Linked DNA regions of Pelodiscus sinensis. The protein of the gene in region 4 interacts with the protein of the main gene of each other region in a biochemical or structural test. Links are inferred from orthologs where the notes say so. Each region holds a gene or a part of one and is shown on either strand. Other genes may lie near its edges.

Evidence for each region.
Region 1: the proteins of RPS6KA1 (region 4) and PDZRN4 interact in a test that uses a peptide from one of them, tested with the Homo sapiens proteins (2 studies listed by BioGRID and IntAct, with this or other methods). The link is inferred for Pelodiscus sinensis from reciprocal best matches to the Homo sapiens genes RPS6KA1 and PDZRN4.
Region 2: the proteins of RPS6KA1 (region 4) and LIMK2 interact in a test that uses a peptide from one of them, tested with the Homo sapiens proteins (2 studies listed by BioGRID and IntAct). The link is inferred for Pelodiscus sinensis from reciprocal best matches to the Homo sapiens genes RPS6KA1 and LIMK2.
Region 3: the proteins of RPS6KA1 (region 4) and MAGI2 interact in a test that uses a peptide from one of them, tested with the Homo sapiens proteins (2 studies listed by BioGRID and IntAct, with this or other methods). The link is inferred for Pelodiscus sinensis from reciprocal best matches to the Homo sapiens genes RPS6KA1 and MAGI2.

What each region holds. Positions count from the first base shown.
Region 1 is NC_134711.1:52,518,250-52,525,564, reverse strand, and holds the start of PDZRN4 (PDZ domain-containing RING finger protein 4), read right to left. Parts: upstream 3,015-7,315; 5' UTR 2,247-3,014; coding exon 1,545-2,246; intron 1-1,544.
Region 2 is NC_134725.1:8,458,054-8,465,482, reverse strand, and holds the start of LIMK2 (LIM domain kinase 2), read left to right. Parts: upstream 1-4,416; 5' UTR 4,417-4,567; coding exon 4,568-4,583; intron 4,584-7,429. UniProt on the Homo sapiens protein: Serine/threonine-protein kinase that plays an essential role in the regulation of actin filament dynamics. Acts downstream of several Rho family GTPase signal transduction pathways.
Region 3 is NC_134711.1:21,275,011-21,282,008, forward strand, and holds the start of MAGI2 (membrane-associated guanylate kinase, WW and PDZ domain-containing protein 2), read left to right. Parts: upstream 1-3,977; 5' UTR 3,978-4,326; coding exon 4,327-4,627; intron 4,628-6,998. UniProt on the Homo sapiens protein: Seems to act as a scaffold molecule at synaptic junctions by assembling neurotransmitter receptors and cell adhesion proteins. Plays a role in nerve growth factor (NGF)-induced recruitment of RAPGEF2 to late endosomes and neurite outgrowth.
Region 4 is NC_134735.1:2,049,517-2,056,827, reverse strand, and holds the start of RPS6KA1 (ribosomal protein S6 kinase alpha-1), read right to left. Parts: upstream 3,004-7,311; 5' UTR 2,909-3,003; coding exon 2,846-2,908; intron 1-2,845. UniProt on the Homo sapiens protein: Serine/threonine-protein kinase that acts downstream of ERK (MAPK1/ERK2 and MAPK3/ERK1) signaling and mediates mitogenic and stress-induced activation of the transcription factors CREB1, ETV1/ER81 and NR4A1/NUR77, regulates translation through RPS6 and EIF4B phosphorylation, and mediates cellular proliferation, survival, and differentiation by modulating mTOR signaling and repressing pro-apoptotic function of BAD and DAPK1.

The DNA.
Region 1 (7,315 bases), on a different chromosome or scaffold from region 4:
TGTCATCCTTATCCTGGTCATAAAAACCCTGAGAACTTGAATCAGTGCCCCAGTGTGAGTCTCTTTTATAACAGTTTGAAGTTCAGCATATCATGCTAACGCTGATAGAAGCCAGCAAGGCTACTCAAATTTTTTTCCTCTGGATTTTGCTTCAAAAGAGTCAATAATGATTTTGGAAGAGAAATCTCTTGAGTGGAGCTTACATTCCATTAAATCATTTCTCACCATGGTTGCAACCAGCAATGTCAGACTCTGCACAGAAATCCTTCAGACAGGAATTAAAGCTTTACAGAACAACTCCTTTAGCTTGCTAAGCCATCTCACCAGTAGCACTTGGCAAAAGGCTGAAGCAGCAGTGCTGGTCTCTCCTGTCAATATTGCCAATCATTATGCCCTTCCCCAAAACTACTTCCGCATCCCTGCAGAACTGTACCTAAACTCTAAAGGATTCTGTTGTTTTTAAATAACAAACTGTTTTCCAAGTTGCTGCTTAGTACTATAATGATAAGAAAATATATCTGGTCACTTCTTACCTACCTGAAATTAGAACGTCACCTAAGGAAGATATAATACCAGCATTAATAAGATCATACTCAGCTGGAAGAATTGTGGTCTGTTCTAGACACCCAGTGGAAGATTTGCATTAAAGTTTGTGAACTGTCAGCTAAGTTGAAGCCCTTTCCTCTGATTTATGTTTCCCTCTCCAGACATGAGATCCAAATTGAGTCACTGGGGTCTACCAGAGACATGATTCCTCCAAATTGAGTCACTGGGGACAGAGGCTGGTGTGCAACCCTTACGGATGCCAAATTCTTGAACTACAAAAGGAGACATGAAACGCAGAACCCAAAAGGACTAAGGTAATTTATGTCACATTTTAGGCTCTCTGCACTCTGAAAGAAAATGAGGGAGCAGAAAGAATCTGCTTTCACAGCTCTTGAAAGATGAGTTTTCCAGGATGAAGGAATGGGGAAATGAAATGTAAAAGTTTGATTTACATCACTTTGTTTCCAGACTTTTCAACCATCAGCACAGCAAGAGAGCTCGGATGCAGGTTACCGAGTGTTACCTGCCTGCCTCTCTGCTTTAGGGAGGGGGCTCTCCAAGGGACCTCATCGGGGGCTGACACTGCAATCCCAGGTCCAAGAGGCTGCTGTGTGTGTCCGCTCCAAAAGCGATCACACAAGCAGGTCTGGAATAAACAGCACAGAGGGTCCGGTCCCTGCTGCTGGGGTCGGTCAGTGGAGTGCAGCAGAGTTTGGCTCGCAGAGGATCTGGCCCCGAGTGGCTCGGGGCGTTGGCGGTCTCCCCCAGGAGCTGCTATCATAGGTGCTGAACTGGGGGGGAGGGGGTTCCAATAGCGACCCTCCTACCTCGACGTGATTTCCATGCTAGGGCGGGGGGTTACAGGTTGGTCCCATGTTCCAGCCCCTCACGGCTCGGCACCATCCAAGGAGCGGCCCCGCCAGGCAGGCATCCCGGTGCAAACACACCCCGAAGCCGCCAGGCTGCGCTCCTGCCGCCCCGCCCGCCCGCTCACTCACCGTGCAGGGGGGGCTGCCGGCCAGGCTCCTGGCGAGGCTGCTGAGGTGGCTCATGTACTGGTTGAACTTCACCCGGTACCTCAGCGCCGTGAGCTGCACCTCGCTCTGCAGCGCCGCGAGCTGCGCCAGCAGCGACTTCTCCCTCGTGCTCCACTCCCGGGCCTGTCGCTTCAGCGCCGGCTCCAGGCCGGCCCGGGGGATGCCGCTGTGGCTGCGCAGCGCCCGCAGGCAGCAGCGCCCCCCGCCCCCCGCCAGCAGCAGCAAGTCGCAGCCCTGCGGGCAGGGGCCGGCCGGCCGGCGCTCGCAGCTCTCCCGCCTGGGCGCCTCCACGTCCGGCAGGCTGCGCACCTCTGGGCAGCCCTGGTGGCGGCAGCGGGCCGGGCTGTAGTCGCACCACTCGACGTGGGCGGCCAGCTGGTGGAGCCGCACGGTCCTGCCGCAGCCCCGCGGGCTGTAGTCGCACTTGACCTCCAGCTTCTGGATGAGGCTCCGGAGCGGCAGCACCTGGTGCAGCTCCTTGGCCGAGAGGGGCTGGCACTGCAGGGGGCAGCGGCGGCGCTGCAGCGCCCAGGGCAGCAGGCAGCCGGCGCAGAAGACGTGCCCGCACGGCGTGGACAGCGGCTCCTCCAGCACCTTGCTGCACAGTTTGCACTTGAGATCCGGGTCCACGGGCTCGGCAAAGCGATCCAGGTCAAAGCCCATGGCTGGCGGGGGGCGGGGAGCACTGCACAGGCGGGGGAGAAACTTTCCAGCAGCGGCTGCTGCTGTTTCTCCTGCCAGCCCGGCTGCTGATGCAGGCAGCGCGGCTCCAACTTCCAAGGAAAGCGGAGGATGAAGAAGGGGAGGGCAGCGCGGAGTTTGTTTGGTTTGAAGTTTTCAGCGGCTCACCCAGTCCTCTGATCCTCCCGTATTCACTGTAATAGGAGCGACCGCCCAATACCCCTCCCCCCCATTCCTCCGCCATCACCTCCGCCCTTTTGTTGCATCCCTCCCAGCAGGGAAATGCAACAGGGCAAGGGGGGGAAGAAGCTGAGATCTGCCAGACCCAGAGTCAAGCCTGCACTGAAGGAGAATGAGGGGAAAGCAACCACGCCAGCTCCCTTCCCTGTGCTGTAGGGGAGCTGGGAAGAGGGGTAGGAGAGATGCAGGAATGGGGCAGGAGGGAGCTACTGGCATACCAGGCAAGCGATGAGCCCACAGCAATTTGGAACTGATTTACTCCCAGAGATCTCCTCCTTGCCCTCCTCTTTGGGATCATTAGCCATTGGGATATTCCTCCCATATGCCTCCTCTCCTATCCCACCTCCCCCTTAAAGTCTTTTATTTTGTCTCTTAGAAAAAGGAATGAAAAACAATCCCAAATCAAGCAGCAGAGAAACACTGGAATTACAGGTTATTTGGGTAGCCCGTGTAGGTAGCAGATAGGAAGGGAAGGGCTAGATCCCCAGCAGGAGACTTAGCCTGCTAGAGGGTTCTCCCCCACAGCTGCTGCAGCTCAGAAGTCATTAAGAGAGATGGAGGAAGGAGCACCCATTACAGCCCCAAACTTATGTGCAGCTCTTGGGACTGTTGTCCTCAGTATAGGTTATTTCAGACTGGATTGTGAAAAATGGAATTGTGGAAAAGCTGCAATTGAAAGTAGTACCAATGCACTAGGCCAAAAAATGCCACCAATGAAATGGAGTTAGTTGTAGATCTCCCATAAATGGTCACACATGTATAAAGAATATGACCATTTTTAAATCTAAATATGTGAAAGTCTGGACATTAATCTCCTTACTCAGAGCTTAAAGTAGGCTGGGTGGCCTCAAGTCTCAGAGGTGGACAAAGTAAGAACTATGAAGTAGGTTTTGTGGGAGTCAATTGCAAGTGAAGAGGTGATGCAACCAAACATACATTGCAGCACTTTTGAAAGCCAGGAGAGTTAATTAGGTGTGTAAATGAAAGTTTAATCATTTAGATTTAGGCATCCATTTTTTTTAAAGTACCCGCCTTTGTTTCTTAATGCAGCTCGCAAGTTGCATCCCTTAATAGTATTTCAGTGCATTGGTGTTCCAAGTAGATTCATTCCAAATTATCCTTCCTATTCTTTTCTGAGGGTTAAGGACTTTAAGACAACAAATAAGAACTGGCTTGTATAAAACATAATATTCAATGATCTCCCATTGAAGTGTTAACTAATTTATAAAACTCAACTTCCATACATTATTATAAAGAAAAACAAACATACATGCAGCAAGTTACTCATGCTGAGAAGTACCACCATGTGAGTACTTAGAAACATCTCCCAGACACTGGTCTGAGATTACGCTATGAAGATTTTGGAGGTTCTAGAATAGGATCCAGTCTTACTAGTCTCTATCTCATAAGGCAAAATCCATGAGCAGTGCACCATGTTAATTGTTGCCCATTACAATCAATATTTTGCTAAGTTTGCCTCACAAAGGAGTTCTCATTACAACCCAGTTCAAACTTGTGAGGCCTCAGCATTTGGACTTGTTACTTCCAGAGAGCTCACCATAGCAAGATAATGGCTAATAAATGTCACGCTACAATATCTCTCTTCACTCATGATCCTTAGTTCCAGTTTCAAGAGCTATGAATCATTTGGTAACAGATGTGCCTCATATCATATTCACTCCTCTCGTAATACCATAAATATTTAACAAGCTCCTTGTTTTCTCTGACATGGAGTTTGTGTCCTACTGGAACTCAGGTTGCTGCAAAATGCTCATCTTGAGCATTAACTTTTCATGTTTCATGCACAGACACACACACACTTTGAGGAGAGGCTCCAAGGGAAACACTATGTCAGTGGGAGTTTTTTGGTACAGGCTGAACCTCTCTAGTCTGGCACCCTTGGGACCTAACCAGTTCCAAATGAGAGAATTTTCTGGACCATGGGAGGTCAATATTGTCTAGCAGCATTACCAACATGTCCACTGCTTACTATACTGTTAGAGGACATTTAGGAGGAAATTAGAGCTAAATAACATCACAGAGCTAGGACTGGTGGCTGTAAACAAACTTTATGGGACCGCAAAACTTGGCCACACTCATGAGAAGTGAACATCCAGCTAAGTAAAATCATTCCAGATGATGGATGTTTCCAGACAACAGAGTCTGGGACTAGAGAGGTTCAACTTGTAGTGTAGAAGAGCATGAAACCCAAGGTTACCAGAAAGATGTGGAAGGGGCTAGGTAAGCAATATAAAAGTAAGGGCTCTGTTTGCAGATAGCTCTTGCCTCAGATATGTCCTAAATGTAAAACATACAACTGTTTCCAAGGAAGGCAACCAATCAAATGGAAACATTTCAAGATAAATTGTATTTTGAAAACTATGTGGTGTAAGGTGATGGACCTCTTAAGGCATCTAGACAGACATATTTGGCATGCTTGGAAGGAGCCAGTGGTCATGGTACACGCAGGAACCAATGACATAGGTAAAGATAGGACAAAGGTCCTAGACTCCAAATTTAGGCTGCTAAGCAAGAAATTAAAGTCCAGGACCTCCATGGTAACATTCTCTGAAATGCTTCCAGTTCCACATGGAAGGCCAGTTAGTCAGGCAGAACTCTATGGCTGTGTCTAGACTGGCATGATTTTGCGGAAATACTTTTAACGGAAAAGTTTTTCCGTTAAAAGTATTTCCGCAAAAGCGCGTCTAGATTGGCACGGATGCTTTTGCGCAAAAGCATCCGTGGCCAGTCTAGACACGATTTTGTGTAAGAAAGCCCCAATCGCCATTTTAGCCATCAGGGCTTTTTTGCGCAAAATAGTTCTTCCCTGTCTACACTGGCCCTCTTGCGCAAGTATTCTTGCGCAAGAGGGCATTTTCCCGAGTGGGAGCGTGAAAGTATTTGCACAAGAAGCACTGATTCTGTTTCCGTATATTACAAAGTCAGTGCTCTTGAGCAAATTCAAGCGGCCAGTGTAGACAGCTGGCAAGTTTTTGTGCAAAAGTGGCCGTTTTTGCACAAAATCTTTCCAATCTAGACGCACCCCTTGTGTGGATGAGACAATGGTGTTTGGAGGAGGAATTTAGGTTTCTTAGGAACTGGGTCACCTTTTGGGAATGATTGAGCCTACAGAGGAAGCATGGATGCCACTCAAAAATGAAATCAGATTGCTGATTGTAGGATAATTTTTAAACTAAGGTTGTGGGGGAGGGGGACGTCAACAGGTTCTTATTAAGGGAGGATTCATTGAAAGAGATGCTTGATATCCTAATAAAGGGGAGAAGAAAGAAATTGATAAAATACAGGTAGGAACTGAAGAGAAACAGTCATATAAAAAAGAGTCTAATTGTATTATATCAAATGAAGGCAGACAAAATATTGACAAATCTTATAAGTGCTTCTGTACAAATAAAATAAATCCGAAATACCTGGATGGGTGAATTCAAATGTTTAATATTAAATGAGGATATTGATAGAATATACATCACAGAAACTGGGCCAGATTCCACCGTCAGTTGCATCGATGTAACTAAAATAACACACTAGTCAGTGGACTGGGATTATTTACTATTAACACTTTTTTTTATCATCAAGAGTCTTAGAGGATGGCATGTCATAAGATTTCAGAACAAATATAATTTTTATGTGTGTTCATATTGTTATTGAGAAGCATCTCAAAGTGTCTTTTTTCTCATCCACATTTTAATCTTCGCAAACAATTTCTCTGAGCCACATGCTATCATTGGAGCACTTTCAGAACTTAAGACAGGGTCCCTAAAAATGGGCAGGTATAAAATAGTCTGAAGCCTCACAATTGCTTTCTGAAGGCTGAACAAATATATCCATTCATCAGTGCAAGCAGGAGACTCTTCCAAACAACAGCTTTTTAGGAAGGAAGTTTACACAGTGAGAATGATTGTTATTTACACTGTTCATTGATGCACATAGGCATGATATATTTCCTACTTAATTAAGCTTGGTATCCATTTTACTGGCCAGCATAGAAAACATTTGCAGTGCACCTCTCCAGGAGGGTAGCCAAAGCAAAAGACTGGCAAATAGTAGAAAGCAAGAATGACTGGCCAGTTGGGAGGAGGAGAGAAGTCCAGTTCAGCATCTCCTGGAATTCAGAACCCAGAATAAGTACCCTGTTTTTCAACCCCTAAATCATCTGGGATCAAAGAGGGGGCTGCAGCAAGGAAAGAGCAACCTGGCATGAAATGTGTCAGAAATCAACTTACATCAACAGGGCAAATCACAGCAATTCTTAAAACGTAAATAAAATCTGGATTTTAGCCATGGTTTTGCCACAGTTTAGGTGATTGTAGGCACTTTACACAACTAGTTTTTGCTGCTGCACATGTCAAACCAGGATATTTCCATCTACTTATTTGCTGCTGCACATGTCAGATCAGGATAGTTCCATCTACCTATTTCACAGAAGAATTGTCTGAGGCAGCTGGTAATTTAAAGTTGGTGGGGCTAAGCCAACCCATAGGCAATATGGACCAGATCCTCAAAGTTATTCAGATTCTTAACTTCCATTGAAATAACTGATGATCTGGGCCTATGTTAAGTAACTGGGATGCATACTGCCAGCTGTCACAATTTTCCTCTATCATATACTTACGCAATCCCCATTACCAATGAATCTGAACACCACACAACTGATAATGTAGTTATCTTCAAAACACACTGTGAAGCAGGTACGTGCACAGGGGGAGCCGACAGCCTCCGCAGGCCCCTGGACAAGGTGGGAGGGGGCAGCTTCATGCTCCCAGAAGGGGCAGGGCTGGGGAAAGCAGCCTGCT
Region 2 (7,429 bases), on a different chromosome or scaffold from region 4:
TATTTTTGAAATTATGCATTTTTATCCTCAACTGAACACACATTATGAAACTTTTTTCACTGCCATGATGTTTTACTGAGAGACAGCCCCACCTGCTGGCAAAAAGAGAAATTTTACCTGCTAATATAAAAGGGATTTTGTACTTCCTTCCCTTTTACTATTATTGTGAGACACTGCTATAATCCTTTCAAGGTGACAGTGAAAAATTCAGCTGTAACAGGAACAAAATAGGTATTAAACCAGAATAACATTTTTGTTTTGAAATATAAAGTTTTAAGCTTAAATTTTTATATATTTTTTGTTTGCCGGCTGCTCTTGAGAAGCTGAAGAGGTGCAGGCTGAAGCGGCTGCAATGACAAGACTTAGTCATTAATTTCCTCACAATCCAAGAATGAGATTAAGTGTTAATGCTTCTGATTATTTTCTTTGTATGTATTTTGTATTGTATCATTTCCTCCTCCCTTGTATTCAGACTGCACATGGCCTGCAGTTAGAGAAAGATGGCACATATAGTGCAACCCTTTATTGTTCACTAATTTTCACTGTTGTGAAAGTGATTTAGAATAAAAAAATGGTTTTACATTGACCTAAGCTTATGTGGATTCCCTCTTTGTAAGGAGGGGCAGTTCCCATGCCCTGTGTTACTTGGAATTATCACTGTAGTAGTCAGTACTGTGAATAATGGCAGAAAAATTTAGTTATTTTATATCCATATATTGTGGAAAGTGTTAGCAGTATCAGATCTGCTGTTTGTACACCTGCACTGTAGGATATATGTCCATGATGTATTTTTCACTCAGAGAAGGAACCAGCTGTTGCTGTCTCCGATAAATAGCAATGAAACAGTCTTTGAGGCTGCTGTATTTTAGGCTTAGAGCTGAAGATGCTTTTGTGCTAGTATATATATATATATATATATATATATCTATACCAGCTATTTCTAGGCTAAACAAACCATGATTCTGAAATGCATTAACGGGGGTATTGTGAGCAAGACACGAGAAGTCTTTGTATCCAATTCTGGGCATTGCCTTTCATGAAGGATGTGGAGAAATTGGAGAAGGTCCAGAGAAGAACAACAAAAATTATTAAAGGTCTAGAAAAGATCTACTGTATATCTGAGAGAGTTGGCCATCCCTCTGTCTGTGTGTTTGTTCAAGAACTAAATAGGAAGAGGTAGGACCACCAAATTTAGTATACAACTTCCTCATATAACTTAAAGCAAGATAAGGGTTTAGTTGTGCCAGGAAAATGGGCTGTGCCTGGAATAGGATTGCTTCTCATAAAACCACACAGAAAAGAGACAGAATCACCAGTGAGGTGAGAGGTGCAGGGTGGAGGTACTGTCAACCCCACAGGTGCCCTTTAGTGGGGGGAGGGCTGAAGCCTTCCTACCCCCCCACGCTCTGCTCCACTAGGGATGTAAGCAAGAACCCAACTACCCAATAAGCCTCAGAGTTAGGACCCCCTCTCTTCCCACAGACAGAGGCTGCTTGACCCAGCATGAGCTGGGACTGAGCAATCCTGACTCAATCCTGGCTCAGGCCATGTCCAGGAGCTATGGCCACTGTGGCTCCGCAGTTTAAATATAGTAAGAGCCGGGAGCTCTGGTAGCCCAGCTCCTATTACATTTAAACTACAGAGGCGCAGCAGGGGTAGGTTCATGTAGTCAATACAATTTATATCACCTACGGATTAGAGTATTACCCATTCTTAATATCCTTACCCCCCACCCTAATTTGTAGGGGGACATTGCTGGGGAGCGAGGGGAAAGTGCAGTTTGCTGCATACCTCATTCTTGCTGGAGAGCGTAGGGGAAGATGGCTCTCGACCTGGACCTGTCCAAGCTGGAGGACATACACTCCTCCTCAGGCTATGCCTGCTGGAGCTGCAGCAGCCATGGGGAGGTACTTCTCACTTGGCCCCAAGCTTCTGGAGTGATAGGGGGCTGAACAATTCCTCTCTCCCCAGGGCAGCCTGCATACTGGGGAGGTTAGTGGCTAGATGGATAACCATTTAAGTAAGTGCTTATCAGTTAACCGTAGTGATTAACCACAAATTCCCTCCCTCCTCTGCATGCTCTGCATTAAAAACTTGGACCTGTGCACTGTCTCACTCCCAGCCTGTTGGGGAGCCACCTGCAGCTTCACACTGCTGCTTCTGATACAGAGGCAGCAACATGGGGCAGCAAGAGGGAACCAGTCCAGACCAGGTACTGGTTTAAAAACTAGGTCTTGCCTGCTTCCCCATCCATGGGATGCTGGAGGAACCTCTGTTGGGATGTCAGGGTGCACCCACCTGCCATCCTGCCTCTGTACCAGAGGCAGCAGCATGGGATGATGGGGGGATGCCTGGGAGTGGAGCCAGGAATGCACTGGCTGCTGGCACTGCCCCCAAGGACCATTGAATAATCATGTAACTACTAAGAATGGTTGCAGTTACATGATTATTAAACATTTTCTAACATCCCCATTGCATACTGAACCCCTCAACACCAGCCCCACCCAGAGCATTGATTTAAATGAAGCATGGACATTTTCAGTTTATTTTCCAAAAAACAAAAAGTTTGTTAAGCTGAACAACACTAGGTAAATCTTCTAGTGACCTATGGAGGAAGTTTGAAAGAATTTGGTTTGTTTAGTCTGGAAAAGAAAAGACTGAAAGGGGACATGACATAGCTTTCAAATACCTAAAAGGGTGTTACAACTAGGAGGGGACAAAATGTTCTCCTTAACCTCTGAGGATAGGACAAGAAGCAATGGGCTCAAATCGCAGCATGTGAGGTTTAGGTTGGATATTAGGAAAAACTTTCCAACTGGTTAAGCACTGAAATAAATTGCCTACATAGGTTGTGGAATTTCCATCACTGGAGATTTTTAAGAGCAGATTAGATGCCTATCTATCAGGAATGGGGGAGGTTGTGCGTAGGGAACCTTTTTTGCGTTGGGGGCCATTTTTAGCCCCGGGCCTTAGGTTCCCCACTCTTGGTTTAGGTGTTTGGTCCAGGGGACTGGACATGATGCAAGGTCCCTTTCAGTTCTAAGTATTCTATGATCTGTAAGATTAAATTATGCCTCTTTGAATAGAGAAAGTAAAAAAGCAGAGGTTCCTTTACTTCATTCCTTATGTCTTGAAAAAATGTACAGGCAGTCCCTGGGTTACATGGATCCGACTTACATCGGATCCCTACTTAAAAATGGGGTGAGGCAACCCCGCACTAGCCGCTTCCCCCCAGCAGACCAGGGAGACGCGAAGCTAGCGCCTCCCCCCAGCAGACCAGGGAGACGCGGAGTGGCTTTTCTCAGCAGACACCTCAGCTTGAGAATAAAGGACTGAGGGAAGTGAGGTGTGGGAGAATAAAACTGAGCTCTGGAGAAATGTTTGGCTAGAGTTTCCCCTACATTATGTACCAGTTCTGACTTACATACAAATTCAACTTAAGAACAAACCTACAGTCCCTATCTTGTACATAACCCGGGGACTGCGTGTAGTATTAACCTTTTGGAAATCAGGAAGCTCTCTTACACGTGGGGTGAATTTCCTCAAGGAGGGGGACTTGTGAATGGCCTGATTGGAGTTCTGCCTGCATGCCACTGTCATGGTTGAAAGAGTTATGCTATCACTAGGGCTATGTATACACTGCAGGCTTTTTGCACAAGAACAGCTGTTCTTGCACAAAACCTTGCAGAGCAGCTACACTGCACACGTATTCTTGCACAAGTAAGTTTATAGACCAGCATCAGAAAACAGGGTTTCTTCCAGAAGAGTTATTCCTCTTCCCCTGAGGAATAAGCCCTCTTGTGCAAGAGCTCTGCCACAAGAAGGCCGTGTAGACAGGCAACATGAATTTCTTGCACAAGAAACCCCTACGGTTAAAACGGCCATCAGAGCTTTCTTGCACAAGAGAAGTCCACACTGGCAAAGACACCTTGTGCAAAAGCACATGGCCGTGTGGATGCGCTCTTGTGGAAGACCCTTTGCACAAGACCTCGTGTGTAAAACAGTTCTTGGGCAAGCAGCCTGCAGTGTAGAAGTAGCCCGAGCAGACCTGAGATTTCAGAGGAACATTAAAAAACAAACAAACCCGCAGGGTAACAGGCTAGGCTGGGGGGCGGAGTAACCCTGTCAAGGCACCGCACCCCTCCGGGTTAACAACAGGGCGGAACAGGACGGCGCCAAACATCGGCACCGCAGGCAGCTTGAGCCCCGGCCCCTTGCAGCGGCGTCTGGCTGACGCCCCGCCCCCAGGCCGCCAGCTGCTCTCGCACGTGCGGCGTTCCGGAGGCGCTGGGACTGAGCAGAGCTGAGCTCTGATTGGCCCCCTCCCGAGAAGAGGGCGGGCTGTGGCGCGGAAGTGGCGGGGAGAGTGGGGGGGTGAGTTTCTTATCAATGGGCCGGTCGGAGATTGGCCCGTGACCATAAAGAGGCGGCGCTGCCAGGGGTGGGCGGGGCTGTGATTGGCCCGCGGCAGGGAAAGGGCGGGCCCCGCCTCGGGCCAGGTGCATTTGATCCACCCCGCGCCCCGTAGAGGCTGACGTCACGGAAGGCTGGAGACCGGCTGGGGGCGATGGCGGGGTCGCCAGGTGAGGGGCTGAGTTCGGGTCTGGGCGCTTCCCCCGACCGCCTGCAGGGCGCGGCTCCGCCGCCGGGCCGGGCCGCCTGCCTGCTGGGGCCGCTCCCTGGTACCCGCGGGGCGCCGGGCTGCAGCCCCCTCCCCGGCCGAGGGCATCGGCCCCGCCCCCTCTCCAGGGACCGCCCCGCCCCCTCCTCTAGTCCGGCGCCGCCCCGCCCCCTCTCCAGGGACCGCCCCGCCCCCTCTCCAGGGACCGCCCCGCCCGCTCCTCTAGTCCGGCGCCGCCCCGCCCCTCCGCAGTCCGGTCCCGCCCTTCCTCTGGGACTGACACAGCCTTGCTCTCCTGCACCCTGGGGGCTAGCCCCTCCCCTGGACCGGCACGGCCCTGCCCCTCCCCCCCTGCAGTCTGGCACCAACCCCTCCCCTGAGACTGGCAAGCCCTGCACCCTGCAGTCTGGGTTAGCCAGTTCGCTGGAACCTGGTACAGCCTCTTCCTGACCTAGGGACCAGTTACGGGCCAAGCAATTGGTCGTAACTCGGTTTGTTCGTAAGTTGGACCCCATTGAGTTACATGTGACCACGCTGTTCATAAGCGCGGATCGTGTTTGTAACTTGGGGTGCGCCATTTACAACAGCTTTGGTCGTAACTGTGAACGGTCATAAGTCGGCCGTTTGCAACTTGGGGACCAGCTGTATAGCTTCTGCTCATGTGCTCCCTGCGTGTCCAGGGCCACCTTCATGGCTTGGCGGAGGCAGCCAGTCATGCTATCTGTCTTGAGTGCTGGACTGTAAGGCTTGCTTTTTTCTCTGGCATACTGTTAGCGGGAAGGGGGTGCTGCAATGTAAACAATGTATGGTCCTACAGCACCTTAAAGACCAACAAAATATGTAGATGGTGTCATGAGATCTTTGTGGGCACAGCCCACTTCTTCAGATGAATGGAGTTTATTAAAGGTCCAGTTCCAAAATAAATAGGGCATGGTGGAGGGGAGAAGGAAAAAGGAGGAAAAAAGTTAGGCTTGTTCATGCTACATGAAGCTGGTAAGAACAATTTGCACTTTCTCTAAGTACCCATTGTTTGGTCTGTTAAGTCATTAGGATGTAGATGGTATAGGATGTAGATGGTAGTGCGCTAGCCAGGTAACATCTTTATGCATACCTTTGTGAAGGTCCTAAACTTGTAAATGAAGTAAAGTTCCAAGGCTTCCCTGTTTTGGGTGGGGGAGAGACTGATTTAGGCTGTGACTGCAGACTAGCAGGGCACAGAAGTCCACATTATTAGGTCATTATTAGGCACAACTGAAAGCTGAGTGTGCAGCTCCGTTAGCTGCTGCATGCAGCATCGTTGATATGTATGTGAATTCAGAGTGACCCTGCTATTTGCAGACTGCATATATTTTAATGTTCACCGGCCTCTGACATCCTTTTCTGGCCAGTGGAATCTGGGCATCAACTTGAAGCTCAATTTGCACTGTTACTTAAGCTGAAAGACTGTAAATGTCTCACTTGATAATGTAACTTTCCTGTTCAATCTCCTCTTGTTTCTTTCATTGGTTATTACAGGTCCCCCTTAGTCTTAAATATTGATCTTTTATAACACTGTTTTCTGAAACTTTAGTGAACTTTTCAGCAGAATTTCCCAACCTGCCTAGTAGGCATATTGTAGATACATTGGCTGTGCAGCACACACAGCAAGCTTGAGAGGGTGATATTCAGTGGTTAATGTGCGTGGTTCCCTGTCCCACTCCTCACTGCTGCCTCTGACACAGAGGCAGCTGCCTGGAGGAGCAGGCGGGAGCTGGTACAAGCCAGCTCCCTGTCTGCACCAGCTCCTGGGGAAGCAAGTGTCCCCTTCTCCCCCCCCTCCCCATGTGTAATTGCTCAAACTTTCAGCAGTTACATGTTTACTTTAATATATGCATGTTAACATCCTTGTCTCTCAGCCAATGTTATGTACTATCAGCATGCACCTCACTTCATGTGCCCTTGCTTTACATGCAGGTTATATTGGTAGGGGAAAAATGAAACAGATTAAAACTGGAGGAATCTGGCAGTCCTATTTGCGAGCAATGGTAAACAAATTGTCTCATGGGCGCCACTCAAAACCCCAATGAGCTGTGTGTGGTCCTCAGGTTGCTCACAGCTGCTTTTAAACTCTTCTCGCTTTGAAAAGTGAGGGGTAGCAGCAATGTTTGTCTGCATCTGTAAAAACAAAAAGTCCCCTTAGCACCTTAGACTAACAGATTTATTAGGGCATAAGCTTCCATGGGTAAAACCCAGTTGGTCTGACTGCATCTTTGTCTAATATCTTTGTCGTTGAGGGCTCTCTCTGTCTTATTATCTGCAAAGGGTACACTTAAGTAATGAGGCATTTCCTTTGCTCATTCATCACAGGGCATTCTTCTTTTCATTGGGGGATTTTGAGTTCAATGGCATACTTTGTTGATTACATACTGTTGTAAGATCAGGGCCTAAGGCATAAACCACCCTGACCATACTTCTGTAGTCTCCTTCATCCTTATTGTTTCCTCATACCTTAGTCAACAAGTGATCACTTCAGTTGAAAATAGAATTTTTCACTTTTTGCTCTCCTAAATTGTTGTTGCATTCATTACCACAGCAATGCAACATCTGTTTAATGTTCACTTGCTAGGTAAGTGATTACTGAGAACTTAAGTGAATTTGACAAGTCCTGTATGTTACCTCTGGATGACTGTCATTGTTAGTTAACTGCAGTGCAGTAACTTGTGCCTTTAAACTGATTGGGGCAAAGGCTCTTGTGTACAGTATGTTGTATGCTTATGATACTAAACAGAGGGAGATGTATGTAAAGAATCAGTATCTTATGCACAGACT
Region 3 (6,998 bases), on a different chromosome or scaffold from region 4:
GGAGTTACAAATTACTATCTCAAACAGATTCATACTGCTAGCAATATATTTAAAATGGAACCTACAGACTCTTTTAATAGACAGGAGAGGGATATGTAGCACAATAGTTTGCTACAGTTAATGTCAGCTTGATTTTAACTAATTCTGGAAATCTTAAATAACCCCAATGATTAAAGCTAAATTAATCTTGGGGCCTATTGATGGGGAAATATAATGCAGTCCTCTTCCCCACCTCTGACAAATATGTTTTAAGTTAATAACAGATACAAGCTATTATTCCAGGGAAACTTCTAGTAAGCCAGAGCACTGGCAGGTGTCAGAGCTCTCTCTCTCTCTGTGTGTGTGTGTTCTGGTGAATATTAGGTTATTTATAAATTGAATCTTTATTATCTGTAGCTCATGACTGCTGTTCCCATATTAACAGGGTGACCGCATTTTCTTAATGAAAAAATTAGGACACTTTTTATAGGGCTGAGGCTTTCAGTGAAGATATATGTAAGATTTTGGAAGCTCAAGGTGGGTCAAAAGGATGAGGCTTCTTACTCCCTATTCTCAGCTATTTACATGCTTTCTCTTTTTTCACAACTAGAAAGCAAAACAATAGAGTGGTGGGTCAGGGGGAAAAGCCATTCACCCTTTTACTGCTATTTTATGTTTTTATTTTAATTTTTCTATGGTTCTTTTCTCTTTCCTTTTCCTTTGGCCCCAAACCTGCAAACTGCCCCATGTGAGTGGATTCCTTCACCCACACAGAATCCCTCTGAAGTCCATATTAAACAGCTTGTAGGATCAAGGTCTTTGTTCTTTGCTTGTTGTACCACTGTACCCTTCCACGGGTACCCATTTAATTTGCACCCATGTGCTAGTGCAATAGAGATAGTCAAAAAACAACACATTTCTGTGAAAAATTTCATTGACAAATAGTGCCATTTTTTCCATTAACATTTCAAAAACATTTTACAACTTCTAAACTACAGTAATCTCTTCCACGCATACTATATCCCACCCTTCATTCATTCTGCATCCAATTCACATGTACCTGCATTCATATCCTCATCATTCTTCCATTCTGCACATGCACATAGTACACCCATGTAGATGAGGTGAGAGGAAATCTCTTGCCTTTTAAAGGCTAGGTCAACCAACGTTTCAGCTAAAGTATGGAGTTTTCCCTGTCCATGTTTGGTCAGTCTTTACTTAGTAGGGAAATCCATTTCTTTAGGAAGTGAGACATTCATACATTTGTCTATAAAGCCCAGGGGTGGATGCATTTCTTCATTTTCATGCTAGAAAATTCTACATCTGAGTGTGGGGGAAGTACAGATCAGAGGGTGTTAAAGCAGCAAAACTTAAGCAGTGAGGGTCAGCTCAATGTGAGGCAAGGATAGCATGGTGTTGAACAGCTGGAGTGCTTGGAATCAGGGAGCACTGGGCAGCCTGGATAATCCAGAAAGTTGTGGCAAGGAGTGTGAAGGTTGAGGGCTGACAGGTAACAGAGAGGGCAGGGTCCCACAAACCATTCACTCATCTATCCTGCTGATGTTCCCTATTCTTCTCAAACTTGCACTTGTCCCATACTCTCTTCACCAGGCAAAGTCCACCTGAACTTTGATGGGGGTGGAACCTCCCTTTCCCCTGGCATCATGGTAACCAGGCTTAGAAAACTTGTTCTATGGCAATAGTATCCAATAAACTGTAAGTTTGGGAGTCACTAAACCTAGAGGCACTACAGGGTTCTGTGTAAATTCAGAGCAGTTATGACTAAACATATTAATGGGGCCTCAAGATTCATAGCTGTCACGTTCGTCTTGCCACCATTTGAAGCTTGCTCAAGCCAAGAACATCTAATTTCATAACTACATATTCCAAATCCATTTACTGATTTTTCAAAGCATCCAATTCACTATTTTAGATGGATTTATAGCTCCTCTATAGCATAGTGTCTTAGCATCTCAAAGTCTTTAATATGCTATTCCTCAAGCTAAATTGGGAAGTGCTGTTAACCTGTTTTAACTCCCCAGAGGTATCTAATGGTACGTCTACACTACATGGCTCTGTCGACAGAGCCATGTAGATTTGTTTATTGGGCAAAGGGAAATGAAGCAGCAATTTAAATAATCGCTGCTTCATTTAAATTTAAATGGCTGCCGCGCTGAGCCAACAAACAGCTGATCAGCTGTTTGTCGGCTCAGCGCACTAGTCTGGACTCTCTGCGGTTGACATCAAAGCCCTTTGTCGACCGCCCCGGTAAACCTCATCCCACGAGGAATAACGGGGTGGTCGACAAAGGGCTTTGATGTCAACCGCGGAGCGTTCAGACTAGCGCGCTGAGCCGACAAACAGCTGATCAGCTATTTCTAATTCTGCATCCAATTCACATGTACCTGCATTCATATCCTCATCATATCCTGATCAGCTGTTTGTCAGTTCAGCGCGGCAGCCATTTAAATTTAAATGAAGCGGCGATTATTTAAATCGCCGCTTAATTTCCCTTTGCCTACAACCCTAATCTATATGGTTCCATTGATGGAGCCATGTAGTCTAGACACAGCCTAAGTGCCTAACATCCACTGATTTATGCACCTAAATAACTCTGAGGATCTGGACCTCAGTGACTTGCCCCCTCACACAGGAATCTGTGGCAGAGCAGAGAGATGAAGCCAGGTCTCCAGAAATCAAATGCTACCATCCTAATAACTGGATCACCCTTCCTGGCCCCACCACATTATTCCCATGTTTTGCTTTAAGGGACTGAGCTGAATTGACTCAATGGTAGAGACCTGTGTGGACACAAAATGTGAATCTGTATCCATATCTGCAAAAATGATCCGCAGATATCTGCATCAATATCCACGGATATGGATATCCACAGATATAAAGTGGGTATCTGCAAATGTGCAAGATATCCACACACAATTTATATCTGCATCCGCCAACATTAGCTGTGGATATCTACATCCATATCTGCAGATTTGCAGATACCCACTTTATATTTGTGGATATCCATATCCGTGGATATTGATGCAGATCTCTGCGGATCATTTTTGCTCTATCAATGGGTGACTAGGAGCAAGAGGATAGGCAGGGAATGTAGGTAAAGGCAGGATGCAGGAGAGGATTTCTTCACTTTCTCCTTCCTGTTCCACCATTGTTGCTTGTAGCATAGGCCCACAAAGGGGCCAGGCACTTGGCAGCAACAGAAGCCACATTCCCTGCCCTGGGGAACTCCCAATGTAACCTGGCAAACAAGGAGCAGTGACTGGCAGTCACAGGCAGCAGGAGGGAGTGGAAGCTAGGCAGCTCTGAGGCTGCAGTTGCTTATGGCTGTGATGCCCCTGTGCCCACAGAGACCCCTCAGCAGGGGTGGGAGTGGAATTGGGGCCAGGCAGGGAGCGGCTCTGGGGTGATATGGGCACTGGGCAGTAGGGAATGGGGCTGGAGGTCAGCGCTGCTGTACCCAGGTGCTCCGGGGTCGGATGAGCGGCCGGGCGCTGGGTCGAGGCCAGGGGGCGCTAGGGGTGCAGAGGGAGCCGGGAGGGAGGTGGGTGCCGTGGCTACGCGCTGCACTGGGCAGCCGTGCCGCAGAGCGGGCAGGCCTGGTCCGGGACCCGCGGGGGGTCGGAGCTTCAGCGATGGGATCCCGGCTGGCGGGGCCCGTCCCGCTCCATCCCTCCCGGGCTGCAAAGGGGAGGGCCCCCCGCGCTGTCACCCGCTCGCTCCCTGCCCGCCCGCTGCAGGGGTTGCTGCCCTTTCCCCGTCCGCGGCTCGGCCGGGCGCCAGGCCGGGTGGGGAGGCTGCAGCTCCCGGGGCCTCCCTTTCCTCCCCACCCAGCCCGGCTGCTCTCCGCCTTCTCCCCGCCGTGCCAGCCAGCCTCTCTCTGGGTCTTCACTACCGGGTCAGGCTGGAGGCGAGCGTGATCAGACACCCCCCTCCCCCAGCACACACAGTCCTGCTCCTCCCCCTCCTCCTCTCCGGGCCGTCTCCATCCCTCCCTCCCTCCCCGCCCGCTCCCCTCCCTCCTTCCCCGCTGCCACTTACTGTACAACTAGTGCACACACACACTCGCACTCCCAGGGTCCCGGCTGCCGCAGCTGCCATGGCCATCCGCTAAACACACCCAGACTGACAGCCAGGCACGGGCAGAGTCACCCCCACTCCCCACCTCTCCATCCTCCTCGCCGCCCGGCGGCCACGGCCCCTGCGGTGCCTTGCAGCCGGCCGGGAGCCGCCGCAGCCCCGGACCCAGCCCCCCGCCCCAAAAAGGAGCCAGGCTCCGGACCAGCACCCAGCACGCCGGGGAGACTCCGCCAGCCCATCCCCACTGCAATGTCCAAGGGCTTGAAAAAGAAAAGCCACTGGACGAGCAGAGTCCACGAGATTGTCCTAGGCAGGAACCAAGAGGGGCAGCTGGGCTTTGAGCTGAAAGGGGGAGCGGAGAACGGGCAGTTCCCGTACCTGGGGGAGGTGAAGCCCGGCAAGGTGGCCTATGAGAGCGGCAGCAAGTTGGTGCCGGAGGAGCTGCTGCTGGAGGTGAACGAGACCCCCGTGGCCGGGCTCACCATCAGGGATGTGCTGGCCGTGATCAAGCACTGCAAGGACCCCATCCGGCTCAAGTGTGTCAAGCAAGGTAAGGGCCAGCTGCCGCGTGCCTGCTGCGCCTCGGCGGGCGGGCCAGGGGCGGACCGGACGGGGTGACAAGGAGCCGGGGCGCAGCGGGGACAGCGCCTGGGAAGGGCGCAGCCCGGGAGTGGCGAGGAGATGGGGTGCCGTGGGGGAGGGGAGACAGCCCGCAGACCCCGCCGCGGGGCGTGTAACTTTGTTCCGGCACTTTGACACCCCCCCTTTCTGGGCAGGGTCCAGCACCTGGCCCCGGGGAGGCTGCGAGGGGCAGCGGCGCCCTGTGTGCTTGGAGGAATTAAATGTGCGTCAGTGACAGGCTGCCGCGGTTGCAGGGGGCGGGAGGCGGCCAAACTTTGCTAGGGCCGGGCCGGGGCGCACAGGCACCCCCTGAGGTGCTGCAGGCAGAGCCGGGGCCAGGGGTGGGGAGCTTGGGATCCCGGGTCAGGCAAGCAGCTCGCGGCGCCTCCAACACGCATAGGGAGCCGCAGCACTGAGAGGGAGGCGAGGAGCCAAACCTTGTGACAGGCGTTGAGGAGCATTAGCATCGAGTAACGCTGTGGCCATGCAGGGCACCACGCTGCGCCGCGTAGCCAGAAGGAGCAATAGGGCTTTGGCCGTCCCTAGCGTAGTCTTTCATATCTAGAGAAAGTGGCCTGGAGGCTGGCTTTGGGAGCTGGTACCCTTGGCTCCGCTTGACACTGGGCGTGTTCCCCTGGAGGTAGTGACTTGCTGCTGCTTGGCAGGTCCCTGACACCTTAGGGCGGCTTTAGCTTCCGTACAGTATCATTGTAGGAAAAATCCTCCACTTTATCTCCGATGAAAACAATCGCCTGGTGCTGGGGAAAGGGGATTTCATATCCTGACACCAGAGAGGAAAGGGTGCTCGCTGCAGGAGCCGGAGGGAAGTTAGAGGACAGAACCATAAACTTTAACTGGTCATCTGTTTCCCCTTTAAAAAAAATAAATATATATAAGTCCTGGAGTAGTTTAACAGAATTCCAGGAAAGTGAATATGATTAAAGATACTAGATTTTCCGTGTAACCCCTTTCTGCCCTTTCAACTAAATTGGCAGGTAGGGGAGGGTAACAGAAGGTTTGGAACAGTTTTCTGACACTCAGAGAAGTGGTGGCAGAGCAGAACAGTTGTAAACTCCAGTGACAACCACATTCATAAGTGGTGCCTTGATAATGATGATGCAGTGGTTGATTGTGTGTGTGGGGGGGGAGAAAGGAGACTAAGGCATTTCAGGCTCAGCCATAGGAATCCAGTTAATACTGCGGTGGAAATAAGTTCAGTGCCAGTATTCTATCTCCAAAAAAGGCAACCTTGGTACAGATTGGGGGGCAAAATGGACAGCTGTGTCAGCTGCCCCAGATTCTTCCTTAGTATAATTTTGTAGTTGAGTTTCATCATTTTAGTGGATGGCCTGTTATTCATGGTGGTTTTCAATGAGATTTCAATGAGATTCAATTTCAATGAGATTCAAATGCTTGAAAAATATTATTGGCCTGATCCAAAGCTCCCTAAAATCAGTGGGAAGATTCTGTTTGACTTTGAGTTAGTCTCCATAAGGATATTACTGTGTGTTCAATTGTTTACAGTGAGGTCACATCTCCAAACAACTGACATAACCTGGTATTTATACACTGTATATTAAGCTGGCATATTGGTAAATTCAGAGTACAGCAGTGTATTGTAAGTCACATTTTGAAGGACAGAAGTCAAGGAGACATAATAGTTGATGCAACAAGTAAAGATGAGAAAGGGAAAAGACTTAAAGCAATTCTACGTTGTTGTACTGGGTCACCTTTGGGCTCTGTGCTCCATGAAACCTGCTATAGTGTTTCAGCTTCTAAATAAATGTAAAAGGTCTCAGAGAGGTAGCCATGTTAGTCTGTATCTGCAAAAACAATGAAGAGTCCTGTGGTACCTTAGGGTGCTTCTGCACTGCACCGTAGCTCAAAATAAGATACGCAATTTGAACTACGCAAAGTGCGTATCTTATTTCACTCTTATTTCAAAATAGCTTAAACAGTGCCAATAGTCTATACAGTGCCAAATTTCAAAATAATCGGCTATTCTGAAATGTTCCTTACTCCTCATGGAATGAGGTTTATAGGGACGTTGGAATAGCAAGCCTGTTATATCTGGAAATAACGGGCTTGCTGTGAAGACACAGAATAGCTATTTCAGGATACTCCAGTATCCTGAAATAATGTTGTAGTGTAGATGTAGTCTTAGACACTAACAGATTTATCAGGGCATAAGCTTTCGTGGGTAAAACCCACATCATCAGATGACTGGGAGTGGAAATTACAGAGGTAGGGGTATATATAAGAACAACACAAGAAGTTACTTGTAAAGTGTCTGACCAGTG
Region 4 (7,311 bases):
CAGCGCCCCTTGGTTCAGCCCTGGTCAGGGCCCGAGCGTGCTGGACTAGAGAGGTTCAGTTTGTAGTTCATTCGTTTTCTCATTCTTCCATCATAAGAAACAAACTTCACTTAGGAGACTGGTATCCAAACAGCCTGGACACAGGACTCCACCCCACCCCACCCCACCACAAACAAAAAACCCAACCCAGACGCCAGTTTCAGGCCAAATGCACAGCTCCAGCAAGGTTGACTCATTCAGCAGACAGGCAAGCTCCACACAACAGTGTTGTCTGGCCAGAGGGTTAGGCAGTAAATCCCAACCCTGCCAGCAGTAGGGCATGTCATGGACACTGGTATTTGATTTGAACTCCTGCGAGCGTTTGTAGGAAGTAATCTGGCACTATGAGGTTGTCTGATTTGAAAGGGGAGAAAAATGCGAACGTAAGCACTGTGGCACCGCCATCTTCCAACTCGTCACAAAAGTCAGCCCAGAAAGCACCGCACACTGCCAGGCATCAGGGTCAAATCAGTGTGGAACAAGGAACTCCTCCCTCTCCCACTCCTGTACACACATGCACCCTAGAGACCCACGCGCTGCTACTAACCAGCCCGGTGGGCTTGGCTGGCAAAGACGGGCCAGCTGGAACCCTGGCATGTTCTTGACAAAACATGTTTTGTCACTGTCATTGCTCGGTGGCGCCAACCCGGGGCCAAGGACTGAGAAGTGGGACCATCAGGAAAGACCTCGCCAGCGGCTACGTTAAGTGTTTGGGGCTGGCCTGTTTGAGCGGAACCTTGACTTGTGCAGCTGCCTGAGGCGAGAGAGTGGGGTGGCCGATTCTCAGCTCACATCTCAGCATAAAAGGGGAGCATCAGGGCCTGAGAAAAAGCAGCCGAGGAGTAAAGCAGCTGGGTCTAGCTCCCATTACTAGGAGCTCAGCCGCAGGGGACTGAGGAGCATTTACGCTGAATACCAAACACTTTATTTTCAATTTCCACAGCAGAAGCCTGCACCAGTGCTCGGTGGTGGCCCATGCACTAGCCTGTCCAGAGAAACACAAGGACAGGGTGACTCGGGGTGGCAATGTAAGCAGGAAGGGAAGGCGCGCGTGCGAGGGAGGAGTGCCTATGCGCAACAGAACACCTGGGAATTTTAGACACGTGCCCCTCCGAGCAATGGGTTCGAGACGTGCCAATGGGGAGGGGAAGCCGCGCAGAACTAATGTGGAGGTTCTGATGTGGGACTTTGGAGCGGTGACTGCATTTTCATCCACGTTTGGAAAGACCCTAGATCTAAACAGTGGGAGATTCAGAGAGAAGGGGAGAGTTCCCCCATTTCATTCTGCACTTCAGAGCATTTGCTGGGTTTAGTTAGGCTCCTAAAGGTTGCCAAGCCTGCAAACTAGATACTCCCCCATCCCTAAAAAAAGATAACCTAGGGTCATATATAGCATAAGGAGTGAGCAACACGCTGATCTGACAGATCAGTACAACGCATGCAGTCTAGCTGCTGGATGGTTTTCCAACAGCCCCTCAGGAAGTCGGATTAGCAGTGCGTGTGTGGCAAGAGTCTGACACACTTAAGAGAGAGCTGCAGACAAAAGACACTTTTGGGGGAAGTTAGTTCCGCTCTAAGGCTGAGGAAGTACAGGCAAGACAATCCTAATATCTGTGGTTTGTTGTTTTTATGTAGAACTTGAAGAACCTCCCCCAGGGGTTTGGTAGCACAAAGATTGCTCCAGGACTGACGCTAACCCAGGACTGGGCTGCACAGCCAGCTGTAAACCCACAAGGGGTCACCCCCAGAGGGGCACAGCAGGCTAAATCCCGCAGTGAGAGAGGCCAAATCAAGGCAGGGGATTACAGCTGGCAGCCCAGGGCAGCAGGCAAAACCCACAGGATTACCGGGAACCTGCCTCTTTGCTCCAATCAATCGCTCCAGTGAGAAGACCTGGAACCTGCTTGCAGACATGTTGATTGAATCAGGTGAGAAGTGGCTGCCCCCCCCTTCCCCAAAATGAACCGTCTCCGCGCCTGCGGGGCAGGGTGGGAGCAGAGAGGGGAGGTGCGGAATCCCCAATTGCATTCATCTGATCAAGTACGCGGCCGTGGTGGCTTTAATTAGCAGGCGAGCCTGGGGCAGGGCTCAGCTGCCAGACACCTCCGCGGGGTGAGGTGAAGAGGTGGGTGGAAAAGGAGACGGGGCACTTCCTCTGTTCGACGGGAAACTTTGGATGTGTGTGTAGACACAACACCCCTCCCCCACAGATACACACCCCCGACACACACACACCCCACGCGCGCACACACCGATACACAGATACACACAGACCCCCCCACATCCCATACACAGACACACTCACAGACCCCCCCACCCACAGATACACACTCAGACCCCCCCCACCCACAGATACACACACAGACCCCCCCATATCCCATACACAGACACACACTCAGACCCCCCCCACATCCCATACACAGATACACACACAGACCCCCCCACATCCCATACAGATACACACACAGACCCCCCCACCCACAGACACACACACTCAGACCCCCCCACCCACAGACACACACACTCAGACCCCCCCCCACATCCCATATGCACAGACTCACACACACTCCGGCACTTTCTGCTAAGCGCTGACCCCCCCCCCCACCGGGCTTTCCAGAGGAGGGGTAAAGATCCCGCCCGCCCCCCACCTCCTGGGGTCTCGCCCAGCCGCGTCTCTAGCTCAGCCCCAGCTCGGCAGGGGGGCGGGCAGGGGCTCCAGTGGCCTCCACCCCGCCGTGCAAGGGGCACCGGGGGGCTGCCCCCCCGCGCCCAGATCCCCCCCGCAGCGAGCCGGACCCCCCCGCACCTCCGGGTCCAGATGCACCAGCTCCATGTTGGGCCATGGGTCCGCCAGCTGGGCGAGCGGCATCGCGGCGGCGGGCGGCCCCGGGAGCGGGGCGGGCTGGCGAGACGGGCTGGGGGGCCAGCTCCGAGCCCCGGCACTCGCCGCGCCGCTCGCCGCCCTCCTTGGCCGCGCCCCCGGCGCCGCCCCCGCCGCCCCATTGGCTGCGGGGCCCCGCCCGGGCCGAGCCTGGGCTCGCCGCCCGCCCCCGGGGGCGCCCCGCAGCCTCCGCCGCAGGGGCCACAAACTCCCCCCGCCCTTCCCGGCTGCCCCCCCGCACCCCACCTCTGCCCCCTGCTCCGGGGGCCCCCAAAGGCTCCTTCCCAGGGGCTGCCCGGCCCAGAGAGACCTGCCCCCACCCCAGCGCCCCAGGGGGCTGTCAGGCCTCGGCACGGGGGGATGAAGAATCAGGCACCAGGGCCCATGCTGCAGCGCCAGGAGTGGCCAAAAAGGCCCCTTCCTGAGGAAAAGATGCAGCCTCAGTAGGTCCCCTCCATAGTCCTTGCCCCAGAGAAGGCCCGGCCTGAATGGGGGGCATCTGCTTTATAAGCCATGGGAATCGGCATCTGCGGAGTTGGGGGTTGTGGACCCCCATTGCGTATCTAGGACCTTGCCCATTTGCGGTTCTCTCCTTCCTATCCGTGGTTCTCCGCAGCCACGGGCCGGCGTGGGCATCTGAGGCTCATTTTGGGGGACACAGATGCAGATACAAATTGTGTTGCTATGCAGGGCTCCGGGCACAAACCTCTGGGTCAGAAGATGACAGAGTCTAATGGAGATGGCTAAATGTGGCTACATGTTTGAGACCAGAGATCAGACGTGGTCGTTCTGTTTTTCTGAAGTACTGGGGTGTCAAGGTCTTGTGTTTCCCACCTGATTTTCTGAAGGGAGTAAGAATGAAAGGTATTTTGCCTTCTCTTACGCCTGCAGCAGGTGGCCCACCACGATACAGCAACGGGCTCCAAATGTATGTCTGGTAGAGCTGTATCTTGATGTTTAGTGACAGTTTCTTGCTATCCCACAGGCACTTCGTCAGTCAACTGAAGGTGGTAGCAACCTTCCTTGTCATCTAGAGATCAATTATCTGATACCCACCAGAAAGGAGGTCACACCAGTGGTAGCAAGGCTGGGAAATGGAAAGAGGAAATGCTCAGGGTGGACAAAGGCTAAGTGGTTTATTCAAGGCCATTTGGCCAGTGAGTGTCAGAGACAGGATCTACAGGCAGGGATTTGTGGCTCTATCTACCTAAGTCAATCCACTAGACTAGGTTGCTCTACCTACCAAAGTACAGAAAAGAGACAGAACAGTCCCTTTTTTATTTCCCCTCCATTTGCTTGGTCAGAGGCTCCACAAGGGGAAAACTGGGGGCAGTAGTTTTGTATCTGAGTTTTTTCTAAAATATATTTATTTTTAACCAGGGCTGGGCTAAGCCATTTCTGAGGTGGAGGCTGGCTGAGAACAAGTGATAAGAGGGGATGAAGTCAGAGCTGATTAATCACTGGAACAACTTATCAAGGGATTCCCCATCACTGGAAGTCTTTAAATCAAAACCAGATGTTTTAAAAGCAAAAACATCCTTGTCCATGAGATAAGAACTCGATGCAGGAATTCCCGGTTAAAGTTCTATGGTCTGTGTTACACAAGAAGTATCGTTGGACTAGATTATCCTCACAGTGTCCGTGGGCCTTAAGATCTATGAATGTACAGACTTATATGTAGGAGGAAAAGGAGAATGCAAGGCCAAGGAATAAAGTTAGCAGAAGTGGAGGCAAACAAAGGTCAGAATCAAGGAAGGGGATAGAGGGTATGAACATGATTACCCAGCAAAATCACTTCTGTGGTCTGTCAGGCATTAAGCAGAAGGAAATAGAGGTGGAGCCTCAAGATTTCTTGGCCAAAATAGGCAGAGGGAGTACAGATCGAATCAACCTGTCAAAAGATACATACAATTGAAGACACGAAACAGGCCAGTATTTCAACATATGGTAGCACTATGGCTGTGTCTAGACTGGCCACTTTTTCCAGAAAAGCAACCGCTTTTCTGGAAAAACTTGCCAGCTGTCTACACTGGACTCTTGAATTTCCGCAAAAGCACTGACGATCTTATGTAAGATTGTCAGTGCTTTTGCGGAAATACTATGCTGCTCCCGTTCAGGCAAAAGTCTTTTTCCAAAAAACTTTTGCGCAAAAGGGCCACTGTAGACAACAGAGATTTGTTTTCTGCAAAAAAGCCCCGATCGCGAAAATGGCGATGGGGGCTTTTTTGCAGAAAAGCGCGTCTAGATTGGCCATGGACGCTTTTCCGCAAAAAGCGCTTTTGCGGAAAAGCGTCCTGCCAATCTAGACGCGCTTTTCCGAAAATGCTTTTAACGGAAGACTTTTCCATTAAAAGCATTTCCAGAAAATCATGCCAATGTAGACGTAGCCTATATGTTAAGACAAAGCTCAATGGTTGTGCATAGGCATTTACATGCATTGGGTGAGTAGTAATGATGGTCGGTGACAAGATCTTCCCTAATTAATATATACGAAAATATATATAATATATATAACTGAGCACTTATAGAAGGTACGGTATTCATGGGAGTCCCTGGATTCCTTACATTTTAAAGCCGCTCATGATTATGGATGGTTTTAAGCACTGTTTGTAACCTACTTTTATGTGTAGATATTTCTACTGGTAAAAGTGATTGACTGTAAGGAAGATTTTCAAAGGCACACAAAGTGCCTGCAAGCACCTGTGCCCAGCTGGAATGAACTCTCCAGCTGTTATGTGTCTCATGAAAAATCTTTCCCCTAAACTTTGAGTTGAGTTGTATGTGTGCTGCCTTCATTGTGTCTATAACACTGGAAAATACCCTAAGAAGAAGGGGGTTGTGAAGTTAAATTAGTGCAAGGCAGAATAGGCTAGTGATTAGAACAAGAGAGGGGCAGGCTGACAATCTGGGTTCAGTTTTCTTAGTCTGCCATTGTTCAACCTTGTGCAAGTCCCATTCTTCAGTTTCTCTATAAAGTAGAGACACTGACACATATCCAGTTTTGGGGGTTTCTAGGAGCTTTAGGAATGTAAGGTATTAATTAGAAATTGCTGTTCTTATCTGCTATCCCTCTGGAGTAGAAACATGTAACACTCTGCTCTTTTTGGTCCAACTTCTGCAAAACTACTTTTTGTATTTCATGATCAAACTGCTAGTTAAGTAAACAATATTTTTAAAGATAGGTACCGCTAAGCGTCAAACATAGTAATGGGGGAGCTAAAAGTATTCTCCTATTGCTTGTTAAGATGCAGCAACGTACAAAGCAGCAAAATACAGTTTCTGGTCCCAAAGCAGAAAATCGAAGGCCAGATCCTGCATTCTCCTTGGCCTGGGCAGACTTCAGGGGAGTAGCATTCGGTTAGCAGTGATCGCTTTTGAAAAGCCCACTCTCAATCTTCAGAGCCCTTTAAATAGACACTCACTGACTTCTAGATAAAAAAACAGGACTATGTAGCACTTTAAAGACTAACAAGATGGTTTATTAGGTGATGAGCTTTCGTCGGCCAGACCCACTTCCTCAGATCAAATAGTGGAAGAAAATTGTCACAACCATATATACCAAAGGACACAATTTTAAAAAATGAACCATGAAAAGGACAAATCAAATTTCAGAACAGAAGAGGGATGGGGGGGGGGAGATAAATGTCTGTGAGCTAATGATATTAGAGGTGATAATTGGGGAAGCGATCTTTGTAATGGGTAAGGTACAGGCAGTCCCCGACTTACGCGGATCCGACTTATGTCGGATCTGCACTTACAAACGGGGCTTTCTCGCCCCGGAGCTCACAGGCAGCGATCCGCCACCTCGACCTCCGGGGCGAGAAAAGCTGCTCACGGTGCCCCTGGTCTGCTGGAGACCGTCTCCAGCAGACCAGGGGCACCGTGAGCGAAGCCGCAGCAGCCAGAGCAAAGCCTCAGAAGCGCTGGAACCCGCCGCCGCTGCAGCTTCACTCACGGTGCCCCTGGTCTGCTGGAGACGGTCCCCAGCAGACCAGGGGCACCGGAGCGAAGCCGCAGTGGCGGCTGGTTCCCGTGCCTCTGAGGCTTTGCTAGAGCAAAGCCTCAGAGGCGCGGCACCCCGCTGCCGCTGCGGCTTTGCTCCCCGTGTCCCTGGTCTGCTGGGGGGGGGGGCGCAGCTAGTGTGCCCCCCCCAGCAGACCAGGCTTTTGTTGCCGGACCCTGGGGCAGAGCAGCTGGGGTGCTGCCGGTTGGTCCCGCAGCGCCGCTCTGGGCACTACTGGACCAACCCAGCAGCACCCAAGCTGCTCTGCCCCAGGCTTCCTGATTCAGCCGCTGCTGGTCAGTTTCAGCAGCGGCTGAATCAGGACGCCTGGGGCAGAGCAGCTGGGGTGCTGCTGGGTTGGTCCAGTAGCGCCGAGGAGCGGCGCTAC